Linked DNA regions of Caenorhabditis elegans. The protein of the gene in region 2 interacts with the protein of the main gene of each other region in a pairwise test. Each region holds a gene or a part of one and is shown on either strand. Other genes may lie near its edges. The genes, in order: trmt-6, mig-15, ahcy-1 and F36A2.10.

The links.
Region 1: the proteins of mig-15 (region 2) and trmt-6 interact in a two-hybrid assay, tested with the Caenorhabditis elegans proteins (one large-scale study listed by BioGRID).
Region 3: the proteins of mig-15 (region 2) and ahcy-1 interact in a two-hybrid assay, tested with the Caenorhabditis elegans proteins (one large-scale study listed by BioGRID).
Region 4: the proteins of mig-15 (region 2) and F36A2.10 interact in a two-hybrid assay, tested with the Caenorhabditis elegans proteins (one large-scale study listed by BioGRID).

What each region holds. Positions count from the first base shown.
Region 1 is NC_003279.8:9,141,458-9,146,470, forward strand, and holds trmt-6 (tRNA (adenine(58)-N(1))-methyltransferase non-catalytic subunit TRM6), read right to left. Parts: upstream 2,920-5,013; 5' UTR 2,913-2,919; coding exon 2,844-2,912; intron 2,760-2,843; coding exon 2,677-2,759; intron 2,126-2,676; coding exon 1,751-2,125; intron 1,637-1,750; coding exon 1,411-1,636; intron 1,362-1,410; coding exon 1,164-1,361; intron 1,108-1,163; coding exon 910-1,107; intron 794-909; coding exon 623-793; 3' UTR 514-622; downstream 1-513. Other genes in the region: ZK858.6 (Transmembrane 9 superfamily member), read right to left, coding at 1-66, 4,036-4,140, 4,173-4,175.
Region 2 is NC_003284.9:10,422,434-10,430,506, reverse strand, and holds the start of mig-15 (Serine/threonine-protein kinase mig-15), read left to right. Parts: upstream 1-1,932; coding exon 1,933-1,977; intron 1,978-2,355; coding exon 2,356-2,523; intron 2,524-2,818; coding exon 2,819-3,016; intron 3,017-3,063; coding exon 3,064-3,304; intron 3,305-3,924; coding exon 3,925-4,068; intron 4,069-4,267; coding exon 4,268-4,655; intron 4,656-4,743; coding exon 4,744-4,864; intron 4,865-5,108; coding exon 5,109-5,666; intron 5,667-5,975; coding exon 5,976-6,062; intron 6,063-6,164; coding exon 6,165-6,275; intron 6,276-6,358; coding exon 6,359-6,385; intron 6,386-6,695; coding exon 6,696-7,178; intron 7,179-7,225; coding exon 7,226-7,561; intron 7,562-7,638; coding exon 7,639-7,717; intron 7,718-7,765; coding exon 7,766-7,986; intron 7,987-8,073. UniProt on the Caenorhabditis elegans protein: Involved in cell migration and signal transduction. Important in several developmental processes including epidermal development, Q neuroblast migrations and muscle arm targeting.
Region 3 is NC_003279.8:6,834,523-6,838,640, reverse strand, and holds ahcy-1 (Adenosylhomocysteinase), read right to left. Parts: upstream 2,173-4,118; 5' UTR 2,157-2,172; coding exon 1,935-2,156; intron 1,867-1,934; coding exon 1,111-1,866; intron 1,043-1,110; coding exon 707-1,042; 3' UTR 501-706; downstream 1-500. Other genes in the region: dpf-3 (Dipeptidyl Peptidase Four (IV) family), read right to left, coding at 1-67, 114-287. UniProt on the Caenorhabditis elegans protein: Adenosylhomocysteine is a competitive inhibitor of S-adenosyl-L-methionine-dependent methyl transferase reactions; therefore adenosylhomocysteinase may play a key role in the control of methylations via regulation of the intracellular concentration of adenosylhomocysteine.
Region 4 is NC_003279.8:8,818,975-8,821,788, forward strand, and holds F36A2.10 (DNA-binding protein), read right to left. Parts: upstream 1,130-2,814; 5' UTR 1,105-1,129; coding exon 695-1,104; intron 649-694; coding exon 603-648; 3' UTR 525-602; downstream 1-524. Other genes in the region: F36A2.9 (Lipase_GDSL domain-containing protein), read left to right, coding at 1-33, 87-201, 247-453, 1,299-1,403, 1,470-1,580, 1,640-1,756, 1,910-2,005.

The DNA.
Region 1 (5,013 bases), on a different chromosome or scaffold from region 2:
TCCTTGCTCGAGAGGTATAAGAGTGGCGAGCACCAAAAGGGTGCTAGTTCGTAAATAAGCCATTAGCTGTAAATAATTTTGAGCTTATTTGAAAGAAAAATGTAATAGGAAGGGAATTAAAAGCAATATATTGACAATTTCTTAACCTAAATATTTGTAAAGCCCGTCAATTAATTAATTAAATTGAAATATACATAGCTAGAACTCAAAATACCGTTTAAAAGAGAAAATATTTCAAATATTTATAATATTCAAAAGCCTAGCAGAAACGTGGATAATCGCGCAAAAGCTTATCGGCTCGGCGAATCTCTTGTTGACACGCATGCGGCGCGGTATTGTGGGTGGGGCTAAATGGCGTGGATTGGTAATTTGCAAGTGTGACGCGCACTTTTTTGCCTATATTTGTTCAGTCAGAATTATGGCATTTTCCAGGAAGATATAATGGTTTGATAAAGAAAATAAATATTGAAGTATTGAACTGTACATATTATTAAATTTTAAGTGTAAAAGATTGAGGAAATATGCAATTTACTCGGAAAATTCAACAATAAAAAATAACAAATAAAATGCGAATACGGTGATCTGAAAAAAGAAAAACAACAATAACAAAAATAATAATAAATTATTGGTCAATAACTTTGATTCCAGTGAGAATATGTCCGCCAGCGACGTGCTGAGCCATTAACGGATGAGTTCTATCAGGTAGAACTTGCATTACACGACACATTTGATCAGTAAGAACTAAATTGATTGTTTGACGCTTTGACAACCAATCGTATGCTGAGATGAGGATCTGGAACAGAAAATAGTTTTTAAAAGGTTTTTTGAGTAACTGGAGCCAGAATTCAGTTAAAATGTAATCTGGTCACTTTAATGTGAAAAAAAGATAATATTTTATATAATTTTTACATTTTGATGAGGAGAGTAGATGACAATCGTCCCAGATGGTGCCAGTTTGGGATAAAGAAGCTCCAAAACACTGATAGGATCGACAGTACGACTTCCAATAATTAAAGAATGAATTTGTTCATCATTAATCAAATCGATTCCTCTCTTCTCCCGATCCAAACGATCATTTCGGCGAGCAAGAGCCTCTAGATCTTGATCCTATAAAATTTAAAAATTTATTTCCATCTAAAACGTTGTCCTAATTTTTCAATTACCTCGATTTTCTCAGGTTCCTTATCTCCATTGACTTCCTCCAAATTATCATCATCCCCATTTACAGCCTTTCGGTTATTGTCATATGGCAGATGTTTGCCTGCTAGAACACACTTAATTCGAACCGGTAAAAATGTGGAAAGTGTGTTATCATCGTAATTCATAGAATGAACACAGGGAATTGATTGAGCTACCGCACCCTGTAAAACCAATATATTTTGAAAGGATGTTTTTTTTCGAAGAATAAACCCTATGAATATGAATACAAGCACCAGTTCCACCGAGTCTTTCAATAACTGCAGAGGTAATAAGTCCAAGTGTTTGTTCAAATACGACGACATTCTTTCCATGGTGAAGCCCTGCCATTTGAAGAATTAATGCTAATTGATCAGCACGAAGCATCGCAAGACGATCAGGATCTTTCAAATAATAAGCTTTAGCCAGAAGACGGATGGTTGGACGGAGGATTAATACTCTGAAATTATTATTCGCAGAAGTAGAAATCGGCAAAACCCCACTTTTATCAATAAAAAACTCAAAAGCTTAAAATTCAAAAATAATTTAAATTTAAAAACAATAGCTGACGTACCGATCACTATGTTTTTTGGCTTTTCGTTTGATATATTTGCTCTGTGAAAAGACAGTTCTTGTCTGAAATGATGCTGAACCTTCAACAAGTTTGGCAACCATTTCCTGTCCACTGACTCCTTGCTTCTTCATTTCCAATACGGCATCCATTTCCAATTTTTGACGTTTTTGTTCGGGCTCAAGTTTAAGTGCTGAAGGCGCGATAACAACACGTGGATCTAAAGATGGTTCCGATGGTTCTGTTACTTCAGGATCTATGGATGAGGTGGCAACGGATGCTTCTTGAAGTTGAAGTTCTTCAATTAGACGATCAACTGACATTGGAAGGCATTGATTATTGGATACTTCGAATAGACCATGAGGCTTTCCAAATGCACTGAAAATATCATTCTTTCATTACAGTATCTTTTACCATCATTGTTCGGGTACCACATACAGTGCCGGCCTAAAATCTATCCAAAACCTTTTTTTTTTAGTGAATTTACAAGTTTTCGAATTTTTATAGATCTTAAAGAAGGAGGAACGGTTCTGGGTATTTTGGACGTATATAAGAAAAACCACAAAATAGTTTGCAGAGCATTCAGTTTACTTTTCCAATAGAAAAAACCACTTTAACCCCATTAATATTATCAGTTGAATCAATTGAACGTAGGGTCTGCTGCCCTTTTCTTTGAATTAATCAAACTGTTTGTCAAAGTGTTTGCACAACGATTTTTAATCGTCGAAAAAAAAGAAAAATTTATAATCGGTTAGTGACAAGGGGCGAGAATTGATATGTGACTTTTGAAAAACGGGGCACGTGTTTTATGTTTAGAATGCACTTTGACGTCACTGTGGTTTTTTTGTGATCAAAGTTTCATTTGAAAGAGCTCGAAAATTGGAAGTTATTCGGAAAATTATAATTAATTTTAGAACTGGAAACCTTACCTATCGGCTACAAACTTCAGCTTCTCAATGAGAATCTTTTGCTTTGGAGTAAACCGGACTATGCGACTTTGTTCGCCATCAATCTGAAAATTATTTTTTTTGCTGTAATTTTGTTCTTCAATTCAATTTTAATGTGAAAATTGAACTTTTTCCAATTCAAAAAATACCTTTTGCACGATAAGATACTCTCCACTTTTTATGAGTTTTTGTGATGTTTCCGCAGGTTCGGTTTCCATGTTTGATCTGAAAAATTTGAATATTCAATTGAAAATCGACGAGACGGCTACGAAAGGCAACAGAGAACGAACGATAAAGTAGTCAAAGAATATCGGGAAAAATGTGATAAAAGAGGGAAAATGAGAGATTGCAAATATTCGAATATTTGTTAGGAGAGGTATTGAATTGGTTTAAAGTTGAACTTTTACATCTTTTTTGAAATAGTTTTTTGTACTTTTAAACTGGGCAGTTTTTGAGTTCAAAACATTTGGAATAGCTTTCTCGGACTATTCAGATGCAATTGGATTCCGGACTGTAAGCTAAGTGTATTTTTTGAGAAAAAAAACTGAATAAGACAAAAAGCATTCAACAAAAATGTTTTTTTTGCACCCAGAAATATGTTTTTCGAAACAAAAACATCAATTGAGCCCAGGGTGAGGGTTTTTAAAAATTTTTTACTAAAAACCGAAATATTTTAGTTTTTCTTTCGATATTTCTAAAAAATGCAGTTTTTCAAAAAATAGCTTAAAATATTGGAAATTTTTATTCAGTTTGGACAAATTTTTTTAATGCTTTTTTTCGTCAATTTAAACAAAATTTAATATAAAATTTATTTTTATGGTTACTCTTCTGTATTTTTTTTTATTTTCAGATTTTTTGAATTAAAATAATTCTGAAATCACCGATTATTATGGGAAATTTGGTATTTCTTTTAGAAAAATTTTTGATGTGTATTGTGTCTTCTGTATCCAATTACAATGTCACAGTTTAGAGGAACAAGTACACAGAGAAGAAACTGTAGAGCGATCAACTGACGAGATGAAATTCAACGTGTGTTCATAATTGATAGTTGATATTTAGTGAACGATCATTCTTTGACGAACAATTTCTCTGTATCTTTTTGATTTGTTTCTCTTTAAATAAGATTGTAAATATAACATTTTTGAATTGGTTTCCATTTTATTTTTGAAAAAAAATCAATTTCCTTGTCAACAATATTTTGTTGATAATTGCCGCATTTCAAAAGAAAAAACTAGTTTTTCGTCTTCTACTCAACTTTTCTATTCTCCACTCTATCATACAAAGAATTATTAACAATACCCTAAACTCATCTTATTTGCTTTTTAAAGACTTTCAACCCACCGATCCGCGATTTGGGCGGTCTCTCGAAAAATTGTGATAAGACGATAAATCATCAAATAGAGATAGAAAGTGGTAGTGACGATAATAAAAGTGTGTGAAGGCGATCTTTAAAGATTGCTTGTTTGCCAACTGCCAACCATTATTGTTATAAAAGATACCCGAATGTTCTGATCAAGGTTACGTTATCAGTGAGGTTTTCCACGGAACTTTGGAGTCTTGTGATCTTTTTCAACTTTTTCTCTCAATCCGGTTATCACACATGTTCAAAACGTATTATTTTTGTTTACCGAAAATAGAAAAGTTCCTGAAATTTCGACTTAAATTTAGAAAACCTGGTAATAATGAACTTATATTATCGAAAAAATACGATCGCACAAATTTCTCATAATTTTGATCTACCTGTTGAACTTGACTCCGCTCCCAATCTTGATGCCGTTGTTATTTTGTTGTGGCTGTTTTATCAAAGGAAGGGGAGGAGCCTAGTCAACAAGGTAGATCAAAAATAAATTATGAGAAAATTGTTCGATCGTATTTTTTCGATAATATGACAGAAAGGGATTACTGTAGTATATCGTCAGATTTTACTTCCCAATTCAAGTATTGAACAGTACATAGAGCTTACAATACGAACTGAAAATAATCACATCTGATGTATGATTTTACTGGAACACCGCAAACCGATATTATTTGTCACCTGTCTAACTGAAAGTAAAAATGAACTTTTGTATGTTCACCCATTAGTCTAGATTTCCCATATAACTCCCACAGTGCATAACTAAATCCATCAGAGTTTGTATTTAAATTCGGAACCTCATGTTTTATTTCACAGTTTTATCATCATTTCCCGCTCATGTTTCCCAAGTGATAGAGACCAACTGATTCGTAACGTTTTGATGAACTGGTCATTTTGTGAACATTCAAATTCATTCTCATTGCTTCTAGGAGCCTAGGTCTATAACTATTACTTGAGGTCGGTTA
Region 2 (8,073 bases):
AAATAATTTTATATTATTGTCTATTTTAAAACGTAACTGTAAAAAATTCGCATTCATTGTTTTTCATTTGAAGAATGTCTCTGAAAATTCTTTAATTCAAAAATGGCAATATTCACATTGTTGTTTTTTGTCGAAAATAAAAAAAGTTGCGGGAACTTCGAAATGCGAATCAAAACTTGTCGTATTTTCTTGATCATTTTTACACACCATGTAATTATTTTGCTACTTCATATTTTAATTCAGTATCATAAGCTATAAAAATTAATGGTACTTGTGTATTATTTCCCCTTAATTTTTTGAAATTGATTATTAAATAAAAACGTGTGGAGTTTTTTTTTTCATTTTTAGGCATAGTAAATTACCATTTCTAAATTAATAAGCTACAAAGATATTCAGAAAAAGATATAGCTTATAAGCTGTCAAAGCAAAGCATTCGGTGCAGGACATGGAAAACTTTTAAATGAAAACACGTGTTTTGAAATTAACATATATTTCAAAATATGAATTCTACATCAGAACATGTTGTGAGCAATTCAAAATTTTCAATAAATAATAATTTTGGCAATAGATTCATGTTGTAAATTAAAAAAATCAGGCAATATATTAATATTTTATGGTTTTTTGATACAATCCTTTTTTTCTTCTGAAAAAATTGTTCCCGAAATGGATACTATGTAGGCTAAATAAAACGTTTCCACAAGAATAGTTTTTGTTTGTAATTTAAAACCTCTCCTTCTTTTTGCAACGTCTAAATAGGAAATATACCTCAATGTGCCATAACCTTGTTTTTTTTAGCCATGAGCGTCACTAGGATCTAGTGGTCGTAGAGACAAATACCATCGCTAAATCATTGTTAATCGGCCATTGGAGAGAATATTCGTTAAATTGATACATCTACCCCTTACTCGATCCCCCTTCATTTATTCACCATCATTAATATCTATTTAGAAGATAAGCATCATTTCATCTCAAATCAATATAATAAATGTAGATCACCAAACAGAGGCATCCCGCTATTCTCACTCAGTCGGCAGCTATATGTGATGCTGCTGTTGCCTTTTTGTGTGTCTTCTTTGGGAATGGACAGGCGCTGTTTCCATTCTTCTCCACCAGCGTCTTCTTCATTCTTCGTCCGTCCTTCATCATTATTCGGGAAAACGAGCGGGGGAATGAAATGGAGAGAGAGAGAAAGGCGGACGTCGGAGGCCTTCTTTTCGGAATCAAGGCGAATTTCTTGCGGCCTTCGATCATCCCTCACTCTCTTTCACAACCTTGTCTGCTTGACCCGATGATGTCTTTTGACCGCTTGTCAATTCAAATTTGCACGTCTTGATTGCTATCAGAAAAATTTAAAATTGCGAGCATTTTTAGGAAATTTTTTTTGCAGCAACAGAATATGAGTTATCCTATTCAACGGTTGTCTGAAACTTAAAAATTGATAATTCTTTCCAACATTATAAGAAAAATATATTGTTTTTGCAGAAAAAACACTTAAGACTTTTCTACTTTTTGAACACATTTAAACAATTTGTGCATTCTCATTTTTTTCCTCTATTTCCCGGCTGTGTAACAATGCTGGACGCGTCCGTCCTCCTTGTGCCGTCCACTGGTCTTTCTCCGACGTCTTTGATGATGCATTCCTTATCGATCTAATTTTCTTTATCACAACATGTGTTTTTTTTTCTGAAACAGAATGGTTGCTTCGTAATAATCTTGGAAACAATATTTTATTTTGAGTCTTTAGATGAAAACAATATATTTCTGTTTTTGTTACTTTTGATATAATCTGAAAATTTTTTTCTGTTTTGTTATACTTCCTGTTTCTTGTAATTTACAATAAGTGTTTTTTTTTTCAGATTCAAGTTAAATTCAAGGAGTCATTGTGTGGTTTAAGTGTCGGCTTGCTCCAAGCCGCTCACAGCACCCAAAACCATGTCGTCATCAGGACTCGACGAGATTGATTTGAATTCTCTAAGGGTGAGTATTCGTGACCACCCATACATCAAGTAGAATGCGCACAATGAATTTACTGAAAAATGTTAATTTTTCTATTCAGTCTGGGTTATCGCCCGTGAAATTAATGGTGTTTCTATAGAAAACTACCTTTTGAAGTTGAATGAAACAATCAATTTTTGTCAGCTTTAAATTTTTGTCTCAAAACTAAGAAAAAGTGTATTTCGCAACATTCACACACACACAGACGAAGTCCCACTTTCTTTCTTCGAGTGTGTGTGTGTGGTGTAACAATTTTAAAAAATCATGTTGCTCTCTTCTCAGAAATATTTACAGCTGAGTAGGGGAAAGAAAATGCGAAACTACACCAAACAACACGGAAATCACAATGATTTTTTTCAGGACCCGGCTGGAATCTTCGAGCTAATTGAGGTTGTTGGAAATGGAACTTACGGGCAAGTGTATAAGGGTCGACACGTTAAAACAGCGCAACTTGCTGCAATCAAAATTATGAATATCAACGAAGATGAAGAAGATGAAATTAAGTTAGAAATTAATATGCTAAAGAAGGTATGTGTTTTGGTTAAACAAAAATATTCCTTTCAAAATTCCCCAAATATGAGAAATGGAATTAAACCTATTTTCGAATTATTAAGTTGTCCAGAATTTTAAATCAGTTAAAAAGAAAAAAAGAAATATCTAATTTCTGATAAATACATTTATAAATTATATTTGTATGAATTGATGAAAACTTAAAAACGAAAGCTATTTTGAAGACAGTTTTGAAATAGTGTGAAAAAGAAATTTCAAAAAAAGGAGAACACATCGATGAGGTCTTACACGGAAGAATCAAATTGATTTGCAGCACTCCCACCACCGGAACGTAGCCACTTATTATGGTGCTTTCATCAAAAAGCTGCCCTCTTCGACCGGAAAACACGATCAATTATGGCTGGTAATGGAGTTTTGTGGAAGTGGTTCTATCACCGATCTTGTAAAAAACACAAAGGGAGGCTCTTTGAAAGAAGAATGGATTGCATATATTTGTAGAGAAATTTTGAGGGTTTGTCTTTACCGATTCTCAGACATTTTCAAATGTATTTCTTATAGGGACTTTACCACTTGCATCAAAGCAAAGTTATCCATCGTGACATAAAAGGTCAAAATGTGCTTCTTACGGACAGTGCTGAGGTGAAGCTGGTAGATTTCGGAGTATCTGCACAACTTGACAAGACAGTTGGAAGAAGAAACACATTTATTGGAACACCATACTGGATGGCTCCCGAAGTTATTGCATGTGATGAAAGCCCTGAAGCTACTTATGATTCACGTTCGGATTTATGGTCTTTGGGTAAGTAATGACGATGTGTAATATAAAAAGTTTTTATAAGGCTTGGTATCAGCATTTCACTGATTTAAACACTGAATTTAGCAACGCACCCAAAATATATTTCTCAATTTTATTAATTTAATTCTACTTACAATAATAATCAAATTGAGGTAAATTGCAGAAAACTAACGCTGATTTCCTTCTCTAGAAAGCTGACAACAAAAAAATATGGCTATCAGCTTACTATTTCGAGAAACTAATTTTTTGGAAAACTTTAGCTAAATGAACACTGAAAACTAAGTTCTTTTCTAATTTGAAACTTTTAATATACATATTCAACGTCATTTAATTTCCAAAAGTGTTCTAGTAGAGCTATAGTCTGTTCTTGAACATACTATTTTGATGTTTTTTCTCACTATTCCAATATTTGCTCCGTCTCCTTCAATTCCCTCAACATATCTCCCTCCGGACATTTTCGTTGTGTTTGTGTCTGCTTTCTTTCATTATTTGCATTTATGTGTAAATGGGCACAAAATTCGTAGTACAACAGCATTAAAAAAGCAAAAAAAAACCAAACAGGGGTTTTGTATAAATGGAAAATGACTCATGGAGTTTCAAAATCTTATTGTTATCCAATTTAGGAATCACGGCATTAGAAATGGCGGAAGGTCATCCACCGTTGTGCGATATGCATCCGATGAGAGCGTTATTTTTAATTCCAAGAAATCCGCCGCCAAAGTTGAAAAGAAATAAGAAGTGGACCAAGAAGTTCGAGACTTTTATTGGTGAGTTTTTTTGCAGATAATTTTTCAGTCCGATTATATGAAACAATAAATTGTAAAAATGTGTCGCTATTCGTATTTTTGAAACAGTTTTGCAAATGGGTTTTTGCTGAAATTTTAAGGAAGCACGCACGGGCAAATAGAGTACATTCCAAACAATATTTTCAAGTCTAAATGATGCAGGTCAAGTTTTAAATTTCAGAGACTGTACTTGTGAAGGATTACCATCAAAGGCCCTACACTGGAGCCCTACTTCGTCATCCATTTATCAAAGAACAACCACATGAGCAAACGATCCGGCATTCAATCAAAGAGCATATTGACCGAAATCGGCGGGTGAAGAAGGATGATGCAGACTACGAGTATTCCGGCAGTGAAGATGATGAACCATCTCCGAACAATCGTGGTCCTTCAATGGGCATTCGAGATGACTCGGAGAGCAGTTCAATGATTCCAATGGATAACACATTGCGTAAAGGCTTTCAAAAATTGCAAGAGAGTAGTCGTGGTTTTGCAGAACCAGGTGCTCAGCAGCTGAGGAGACTGCCCCAGCAACCAGCACCAGCTCCATTCCAATATCAGCAGTCTCGGTATGTCACCACTTTCACTCAATACTTTTCACAGTTCAGATTTGACGTTGTTCTCTTAATAGTTTCATTGTAAATTTGAAACCTTCAGATACGTTGAGCCAAGACGAGAATCATCCGAAGTCAAACTGAGGGCTGTTTCATCTAGAGGAGCTGCCGATGGTCCACGTCATTCGCCAGCATCAAGGCCACGGCCCGTGAGTCATCATCAGGTTTTGTTTTCTTACCTTCCTTTTAATATTGTCTAAACAGTCATTCAGTACTAATAATATACTAATAATAACAAACATTAACAAAGTTGAAGCATGTAGGGTATGAACGATTCAAATAACCAGTTGAGGTTTTTTTTAATAATAAAAATAATGGAGGCTATACAGAAAAAATGTTTGTTTACCTGGCTTAAAAGTGTTTGTAGTGTAGTTTTAAAAGTTTTAAATAACGTAAATAAATTTTCAGCGATCTCCACAACAATCCCATCCTGCAGCCCCACACTTGGCGGATTTAGCAAACTATGAAAAAAGAAGACGATCGGAACGAGAAGAGCGACGGGAAAGAGAACGTCAGGCTCACCACGCTATGCCGATTGCACGTGTTTCTGCAAGTGTACCTGCTCCACAACAGTCTCGAAAAATGTCAGAACCCCTTCTGATCACTCATGTAAAACCAGAAGATCTTGACGTGCTCGCCAGTGAGCTTTCTAAAATGGGCGGTCATCACAATGGACGCAGTCGCGAGGAGAGCATGAGCCCACCGCCACCGGCGCCACCACCGCGTGAGGCATCGATCTCGTCTATCACAGACACGATTGACGTGGGTGAATTGGATAATGGAGCAGATGCGGAGTGGGACGATTTGAAGGACATTATGATGAACGGAGAAGGCACACTGCGCGGCCCGAATAAGCCGCTTCCGCCAACACCGACAGATGGCGAGAATACACTTGTGTCAGATGTGCGTCGCAATGGAAATGGAAATAGTGGCCATGGGGCTTACAAGGGAAAGAAAATTCCAGAGGTTGGTAGTGTGAGATGAGCGAAAATATATACTCGTTTCTTTATTTTTTTTCAATTATCTAAATTGGTGCATTTCAAAAATCGATAATATCAATAAGATGCTCACTTTAAAAATTAAATAAATATGAAAAAGCCAATTAAAAAAATAAAAACACTACTGTTTCTGTAGCAGCTATTTTCAAAAAATTATAACTGGCAATAACATAAAGGTGCTTTTAAAATAAAAGGAACTGCCACGACGCCGGGAAAATTTGAGATAAGCTTTCACAACTCAATTTAAAACGTATTTAAAAAACAGAATATTTTCTAGATTCGCCCTGGAATTATCTCTCTTGACGACGACGACAGCGACTCGGACAACGAGGAAGGCAACGAGCCCCTTATGTTCAAACCAATTGTACGTTGTCCCTTCTCTATTTTTTTTTGGTTTCTCTCGGCCAATGTTATACATAGTGTTGACGGCTCTATACCACTCGTGAAACATCTTATTTGGTTCCAGAACGCCTCAAGCTCGCGCGGCGCCCTGCCAGATCTCTTGCCCAAATCGCCACAACTCCGCCGTCAAATAAATGACCAAACACGCCAGATGAGTGACGATCGTGCAGATGAGGTGAGTGTTTTGATTTGAGAATAATATATGTAGTGGAAACCATAAATTTGAACGATAAAACATGTAATTTTATAATTATGTAGAGCGCCTCTCTATTTGGAAGTTTTTATGTAAGTTACTCGATTTGAAATGACAGAATTTGTTGTGATTTTCCGATTTATTCCCCCTTTGGTTAAACTGTTGGTCATCTTTTCAGAAAACAAATCATCCTGTGTTTTATTGTTTTTGATGCTGGTTATTCAGTTATTTTAATTTTCGAAAGATATGTAGTTCTTCTTTGTTGCGGTTCTTTTTTTATTGTTTCAATGTCTTTGGATATATTTTTGATGATCAAAAATCAAAATACAAATTTTTGTTGAAGTGATTATATTTTGTCAGAAGATAAATTTTAATAAATAATAAAACATGATTTGATTTCAGCAACCAAATGGATTCCAAAACTCTGACAGCCGTTCATCAATTCAGCATTCATTTTCGAATCGTGATCGCGAAAAGTCATTTGTTGGATATTTTGGTGGTGGCGCCGGAGCCGGTGGTGGCACAGTAAATCGACCAGGGAGACCGCAAGACATTAACCAAGTTCAAGTTAATGTGACACCAAATTCTAATGGAACACCAGCTGAGAACGATGCTCCAGAAATCAGGAAGTACAAGAAAAAGTTCAGTGGAGAGATTTTGTGTGCAGCTCTCTGGGGAGTTAACTTGCTTATTGGAACAGACAGTGGACTTATGCTTTTGGATCGAAGTGGACAAGGAAAAGTTTACCCGCTCATCAGTCGGAGAAGGTTTGATCAGATGACGGTTCTCGAGGGACAAAATATTCTCGCAACAATTTCCGGAAGAAAAAGGAGAATCAGAGTGTATTATTTGAGCTGGCTCCGTCAGAAAATTTTAAGAACAGAGGTATGGTTTATAAACATTTTGGATATATCTAATTTTATGTCTTATAGGGTGCTGGAAGCGCCAATACGACTGAAAAAAGAAATGGATGGGTTAATGTTGGAGATTTGCAAGGAGCCATTCATTTCAAAATTGTTCGCTATGAAAGGATAAAGTTCTTGGTAGTTGGTCTAGAGTCGTCAATTGAGATTTATGCGTGGGCACCGAAGCCATACCATAAGTTCATGAGTTTCAAGTCATTCGGATCTTTGAGTCATGTTCCTTTGATTGTCGACTTGACAGTTGAAGACAATGCAAGACTCAAGGTTCTTTATGGATCGACAGGTGGATTCCATGCAATTGATTTGGATTCTGCAGCGGTCTATGATATTTATACGCCAGCACAGGTATGATAACTTCAGAATAAGAATTGAAAACAAAGATGAATCATTTAAATGTTAGCCTTTTATTTTTAATTGTTTAGAGCGGTCAAACTACGACTCCACATTGCATAGTTGTTCTTCCAAACTCCAATGGAATGCAACTCCTTCTCTGTTATGACAGTGAGTTTTCAAAAATAGTATTCACTTCTTTATCTATTCTTATTTCAGATGAGGGAGTATATGTTAACACGTACGGAAGGATGACAAAGAATGTAGTCCTGCAATGGGGAGAAATGCCAAGCAGTGTGGCGTACATTTCAACGGGTCAGATTATGGGATGGGGCAACAAGGCGATTGAGATTCGATCCGTTGACACTGGCCATTTGGATGGAGTGTTTATGCACAAGAAAGCTCAGAAGCTGAAATTCTTGTGTGAGAGAAATGATAAAGTAAGCTTTTTTAATATTTTGTCTTTACGAAGATTGTTGAAATTATTCCGTTCGTATGATTTTTTTGAAAACTCCATTTATGTGCCT
Region 3 (4,118 bases), on a different chromosome or scaffold from region 2:
TGAGACGATCTTTTTCTGCACGCATGAGGCTAATTTTTGTGAATCCTTGTGTTGTCATGCCGCGCACCTGAATCAGTTTATCGAAATAATATTTTTTAAATCATTTTTCGAACCTCCGTCTTCCAACTTCTTGCATGATCTATTAATTGACTGAATGAACGAGTCTCAAATCTTGCCGGCTCATTTTCCCTCATTTTCGTGTGGGTAAGTTGTTTTAGTACTGAAAAATCAATAAATGGGGAAACATTTTGCAGGTTATAGAGAAACTGATAAAAATTGAACATCATGGGAATTTCTGTAAATATAAAAAGTGAAACACGAAATGAGTGAAGCGTTGAGAGAAATAAAGAACTTATTTATCAATAGAGCGCCCTTCACCCCGACAAATTTAAAATTTGTTTTTCCCTGCTTGAAATTTCCCGGGCGTAGATCTGAAAATTCGATAAACTCACGCCTAATCAAACGTTTTCAGAATAATTTCTCAAACAATCGTCAAAGTTACTCCATAAAACATTTATGTCCAAAAGACAAACAACAGAACCAAATCAACGAGTTGAAGAAAAACGACTAAATCAGGCGATTATGTATTTGGGGGAAAAGCGGGTAGATGGGGAACAATACAACCAGTTCAAGATCATATGAAGTTTGAGGGCAATACAATTTAAAACAGTTAAAAAAATATCCGTATGGGGTAGAACCAACAAAATTAATATCTGTAGTGGTCTGGCTTGTATGGTCCGGCAACTGGAACTCCAAGGTATGAAGCTTGCTCGTCGGAAAGCTTAGTAAGCTTAACTCCCAATTGAGCCAAGTGAAGATAAGCGACCTCCTCGTCAAGGGTTTTTGGAAGAACGTAGAGTCCGAGCTTGTATTCTTGTGGAGTTCCGAACTTGGTCCAGAGCTCAACTTGAGCGAGAACTTGGTTGGTGAAGGAGTTGGACATGACGAAAGATGGATGTCCGGTGGCACATCCAAGGTTGACAAGACGTCCTTCGGCAAGGAGGATGACGTGACGTCCGTTCTTGAGGGTGTAACGGTCAACCTGAAAAAAGTTGGTTCAAACTTCTATCGATGATTGTGAATTCATCCTAATTCTGAACATTTTCTTACCTGTGGCTTGATGGTGTCCTTCTTGGTGGCATTGGTGTTGAGCCATTTGACGTCAATCTCGCAATCGAAGTGACCAACGTTGCAGACGATAGCGTCATTTGGAAGAAGCTCGAAGTGCTTTCCGGTAACGATGTCCTTGCATCCAGTGGTGGTGACAATGATGTTAGCCTTTGGTGCAGCCTCCTCGAGGGTGGTCACTTCGTATCCTTCCATAGCGGCTTGAAGAGCATTGATTGGATCGATCTCGGTGACAATGACACGGGAACCGAAAGCCTTGAGGGAAGCAGCAGATCCCTTTCCGACATCTCCGTATCCAGCGACAACGGCTACCTTTCCGGCGAGCATAACATCAGTGGCGCGCTTGATTCCGTCTGGGAGAGACTCGCGGATTCCGTACAAGTTGTCGAACTTGGACTTGGTGACAGAGTCGTTGACGTTGATAGCTGGAACCTTAAGGTCTCCCTTGGCGAGCATCTTAGCCAAGTTGTGGACTCCAGTGGTGGTCTCCTCGGAAAGTCCGCGGATTCCAGCGAGGTATTGTGGGTACTTGGCGTGAACCAAGTTGGTAAGATCACCTCCATCATCAAGGATCATGTTGAGTGGTTGTCCATCCTTGAAGACGATAGTTTGCTCAATGCACCATTCGTATTCCTCGTCGGTCTCTCCCTTCCAGGCGTAGACTGGGACTCCGGTCTGGGCAATGGCGGCAGCAGCGTGATCTTGGGTGGAGAAGATGTTGCAGGAAGACCATTGGACCTGGAAAAAGTTTCGATTTTTCAAACCAACTTATTTTAATACTAATTCTTTCAAAAAACAAGATTTACCTCAGCTCCGAGAGCAGTAAGAGTCTCAATGAGAACAGCGGTTTGGATGGTCATGTGGAGACATCCGGCGATTCTAGCTCCCTTCAATGGCTGGGATGGTCCGTACTTGGAGCGCATAGCCATAAGTCCTGGCATCTCATTCTCAGCAAGGATGATCTCCTTGCGTCCGAAATCGGCGAGCTTGATATCAGCGACCTTGTAAGCTGGCTTAGACTGGGCCATTGCGAATGTGTTTTACCTGAAATAATTAGAAATTTATTTTAATCTGCAGGACGGATAGGGAAGAGAAGCGAAGAAGTCCATAAGACGGAAATAAAGAAAAAAAATGAGACACTTTTTTGAAAGTTCGGCTGTGAAAAGGATAAAACAAGAGTTTGTGAAGAAAAAAAAACTGATTGTGAGAAGGTTATTTTCCAATTTATAAGTTGTTTTTGTTTATCAGAGAATCGAAAATAAACAAAAACAACCTTGGCTTACGTGGATTGCCAAAACATCAATTTTTAAATGGAAAAAAACAATAATCCATGTGTAAATAAGTAAACCCGAAAATACGGAAGATAGTTAGTGGACGAGAACTTTTTTAGGTTTTAGAGTTTAATATGTGGGAAAATCTATTAAATCTGGAACCATGACGAAGAAATTTACAACTAGTCGGTCTTTTAAACATAAAACAAAGCGAGGAACTTTGCAAAAACTTTTCCCAAAAAGAAAGCTTTTTCGAAATTTCTACTGTTTCGATCAAAGGCGCAGTGATTTTTCTCAGTGGGTCCCGCCACGAAGGCCTAAAATTTGGACTTACTCGCCGCGAAACGATGATTTTTATTTGAAAATTACTAAAGAAAATTTAAGAAAAAAACGTATTGACACATGAGGTGAGATATGCATCCTGCGATGCTCGTCAACCGTCAAGACAGCGTTATTTATGGAGAATTGGCGATAAAATCTTGATAGCCTTGTAAAATGTAAGATTACTTTGGCCGATAGCTTTGGTAAAGTGACCTTCCTGAATTCCACACCACCGCAGATTTCTTTGAAGATTCTGTACGACCTAGAAAAGGATATCACGTTTCAGATTAAATTTTAGGATTCGTCGATGATAGATTTCCCCCACTTTCCTCTTGTTCTAGAATGATTCAGTACCTTTTCAGTCTGAAAGGGAAAAATCACTTTCTTTTTTTTTTGCTAGCCCGTATTCCTACGGCGTTATTTCTGGCCCAACGGCGGCCTTTTATAGCACCCAAATGCCTGTGCCACATCAGTCTCCGCCCACTTTTCGTCGTGGATGTGCTGCGTCTCTCATTCTCCGCTTCTGTGTACTTTTCTATGTTAGATGTGCAGGAATGATAAGAGCTTGAGAGAAAGCAGAGAAAGAGGAAAGCGAGGGAAATTCAAAAATTAATTTTCTATTTTTGACACATTTTTTACAATGTGGCGCCTCAATTTGGATAATGTAATTTTTCATGCAAGACGTCGACCGGGACAGTTTCAAAATTTCTAAGTGATATGTTCTGAAATATAACTGTGTTCTGAAATATAATTTTGCTCATTACAATTAAAACTAAAATTTTCTTTGCAAATCTCGTTAAATTCTAGAAGAATCTATTAGAGATCTATGTATCTCTTACTTTCTATCATCCAAGGTCACTTCTTATCGTAGTTCTTTTTTCGAAATGCCCTCCGCCGCCAATTTCGTAGACAATTAGGTTTCGCTTATCAATTTTGCAAAGTTCAGGTGGTTTTAATGTCTAATAGAATTCTATAAACTTTTTAATGTTTTAATCTCCTAGAATAGACTTCATTTAATTTTCCAAATAAAATTTCTTTTGGTTTTTCCAAAATCCTCGAATGCTGAGAATCCGGTGCAGTTTCTCTGAGATATCTATTTCCCGGAAAATGATTTTTGTAATTTAGTATCGGAAATTTTGGCAAGGCGAATTTTTCTAGACCCACTTCGACCGTATACCTCATCTGGAATTCCAGACAGCTGATCAGCTACACATCACGCCATTCACAATGTCTCATATTTTATGTTTCTTCTCTTATCTCAATGATTATATCATGGTGATCTTGTTAACAATCGGCGCACGAGAAACAAAAAAGGAGTAAAAGAATATTAGTGAAAGGTAAAAAGGAGAGATTTCCTGAAAAAATCTTTTAAGAAAGTTATTTAACAATTTATAATTT
Region 4 (2,814 bases), on a different chromosome or scaffold from region 2:
ATCCTTCCACGAGCAGAAATCAAATCTTTTGAAGTAAGTTATTGAAAACTGGGAATTCAGAGAATTTAATTTGAATTGAAATTTAGAGCCCGTTGTGCATGTTCTCGAGACCAAACCGAAGGGTTCATGTATGATGTGTCTCGAAAATGGTCCAAAGTTTGGCGAGATGTTCAAAAATTTGTGGAGAATGGAGTTACAGCCGTGAGTTATGATTTGTAAATAATTTAAAATTAATTCATTTTGTAGAGACCAACATTCGGAATGATCAGTTATCCAATGGTAACTATAACCTCAAGATATCCAAGTGGATTGTTCATTCGAGATAAGCCATTATTGAATCGAAGAGGTCATAATTACGCGACGAAGTGGTTATGGAATAGGCTGATTGGCGGAGATTTATATAATCTTTCCTCGGCTACACTTTCCCAGGATAACTATTTTTGTCCTTCTGTTGTAAGTTGAATGCATTATTAATGCGAAATATTCAAATTAACACTAACAACAGCATATTAAAAAAAACGTTTCAAATCACAATATTTTTATTCATAGTTATATCCCGGAAAGATCTCTTTTCTACCTTGCCATCAAGAAGCGACGATTATTTACTTGTGAGCCGCAGACACACGACGGGCGGTTTTGCTGCTTCCACTGAAAATTGACTATGAATATTAGAATAAAACTGAAAAAAACAAACCGCGATTTGATGGCTTCTGTCTTTTTCACTTTGACGGGAGAGATAGATCGAGCGGCTTTCGTGGTAACTGCCTTCTTTGGAGCACGCTTCTTTCCACGAGTGCTACTGCGGCTTCGAGATCTCGATCTGGAACGTGAGCGAGTAGACTTTGAACGTGAGCGGCGAGTAGATTTCGAACGGGATCTTGAACGGCTACGAGATGATGCCTTCTTTTTCAACTTCTCCTTCGGAATTCGAGATGAACTGGTCGAAGTCGAAGAGTCAGTGATCCCCATATGTCCACGAAGAGCAGCCTGAGAGCGAGTAACCGCTCCTTGGGTGCGGACCGTTGGTCGGACAGCTTGAATCGTCTTCTTTGTAGATCCTGGACCTTTAGATCCGACTTTTGCCACGGTAGTCTTTCTTGCCATTGATGGATTTCTTCAAGTATGCGAATATGTCGAACTAATGATTGTTTTGTGGTTTTGGTCGACCTTGTATAGACATTCATTTGACCGGGCGAAAAGAATAATTAAACCATGTCACGAGAAATTAGAAATGAAACATAAATAAATGTTTTTCAAATTTTTGGTTCAATTTTTTTTTTGAAAATTGTTTTTTTAAGGGTTGTCCGTATTTCCGAACGTATGAGAATCACAAGAGATGTTCCACTATGAGCCTTCAACAAGCAAAAGAAGAATTAATTGATATAAATGGGACTTTTACAAAGGTTTGTTTGATGTTGTGAATGCTTTTACTTTTAATTTTGTATATTCTGCATGTATTGATATTGTAGCCTCGTCGACGCTCGGTTCGGTTCTTGTACAACGTGGCAATGGTGGTTATAGGTGCAGCCTTTTGTGCTGCCTGCCTGCTCGGAACTTTCTTTTATCAAAAATCCAAAGCGGTATGCAATCTATACTAGAATTCCACTTTTAAATAGATGTTAATACATAATACTTTTAGGGTAATCATGGACGGTTCGAGATTGTGGAGGAACCACAGAAAAAACTGGAAGAAGCGCAGAAAGAAGAGCAAAAGGCGCTGCTTACAAGACAAAATACTCGAGCACAATCTGAACAGGTAAATTTAAATAAACAATTACTAAATATGGTAATATCTCAAAGCTCTCATGAAATAATTTCGTTTTTTTCTTTCAATAAGTTTCCGAAAAATGCGGTTTCCAAAGCGCAATATTCAGTTTGAAAACTTTTAAAAAACATCGCTACGTTTCAGGCGACAACTCCAACTGGTATCCAGCTTGCACCAATTCCTGTCGGACGTCACAAATCATTTTTAGGAACAATCAACGAAGGAAACCCGGATGTATAAATCTCAAATTGAGAATTCATTCGATTTATATTTAGTTAGTAATTGCTGTATTTTCATCTTGTCATCACTCACTCTCTGTAATTTTTATCCAATTATCCTGTAAATTTATCATTTACATCCTTGAATTCATTCCAACCCAGTTTTGCTTTACAACCTCAGTTTTATGGCATTTGTAAATAATTTATGCCAATCAATTCCGAAAATCTAAGTCACTTTCAACCTCCAGTCAACAGAGTTCCCTACGTACTTTACGATTAGTTTTTTTGCATTTATATCATTTATTACTTTAACGAGTTCCCTAAAATTGTGCCTTCAAAACCTACATTTCACTTATATTCCGTGTTTTTCATTGTTCTCCTTTGTGATAAATGATTGTATTTAAAATACTTTAGTATGCAATGCAAGCAAAGAATATGATTTGGAAAAGTATTCTATACATATGCGATAGAGAAAACAAATAATTCTGAGTGTGCATGTGATATAGTAATTTCTCAGAAATTTTTTTTTCAGTTTAAAGGCGCATGATGTTTTCCGAGTGTGTCTCGGCACGATATCAGCCATAAACCTTATTGCCCAGAGCCGTAGGCTCATGTCTTGTGATTCTCAAATGTTCCGAAATATTTATATTTCCGAAATAAGGAAAAACTATTTTCAAAATCTAGAACTTTTTTTAGAAGGCTACTGTAGGGTTACTGTAGTTCTATACTTTATCCTAGGATAGGTAGTTGGGATTGGTTGTGATAGTGTAGCTGTAGGAAAGTTTAGAAGATTTTCTAGAAAACTCACAATAACTCACATCACAATATTTT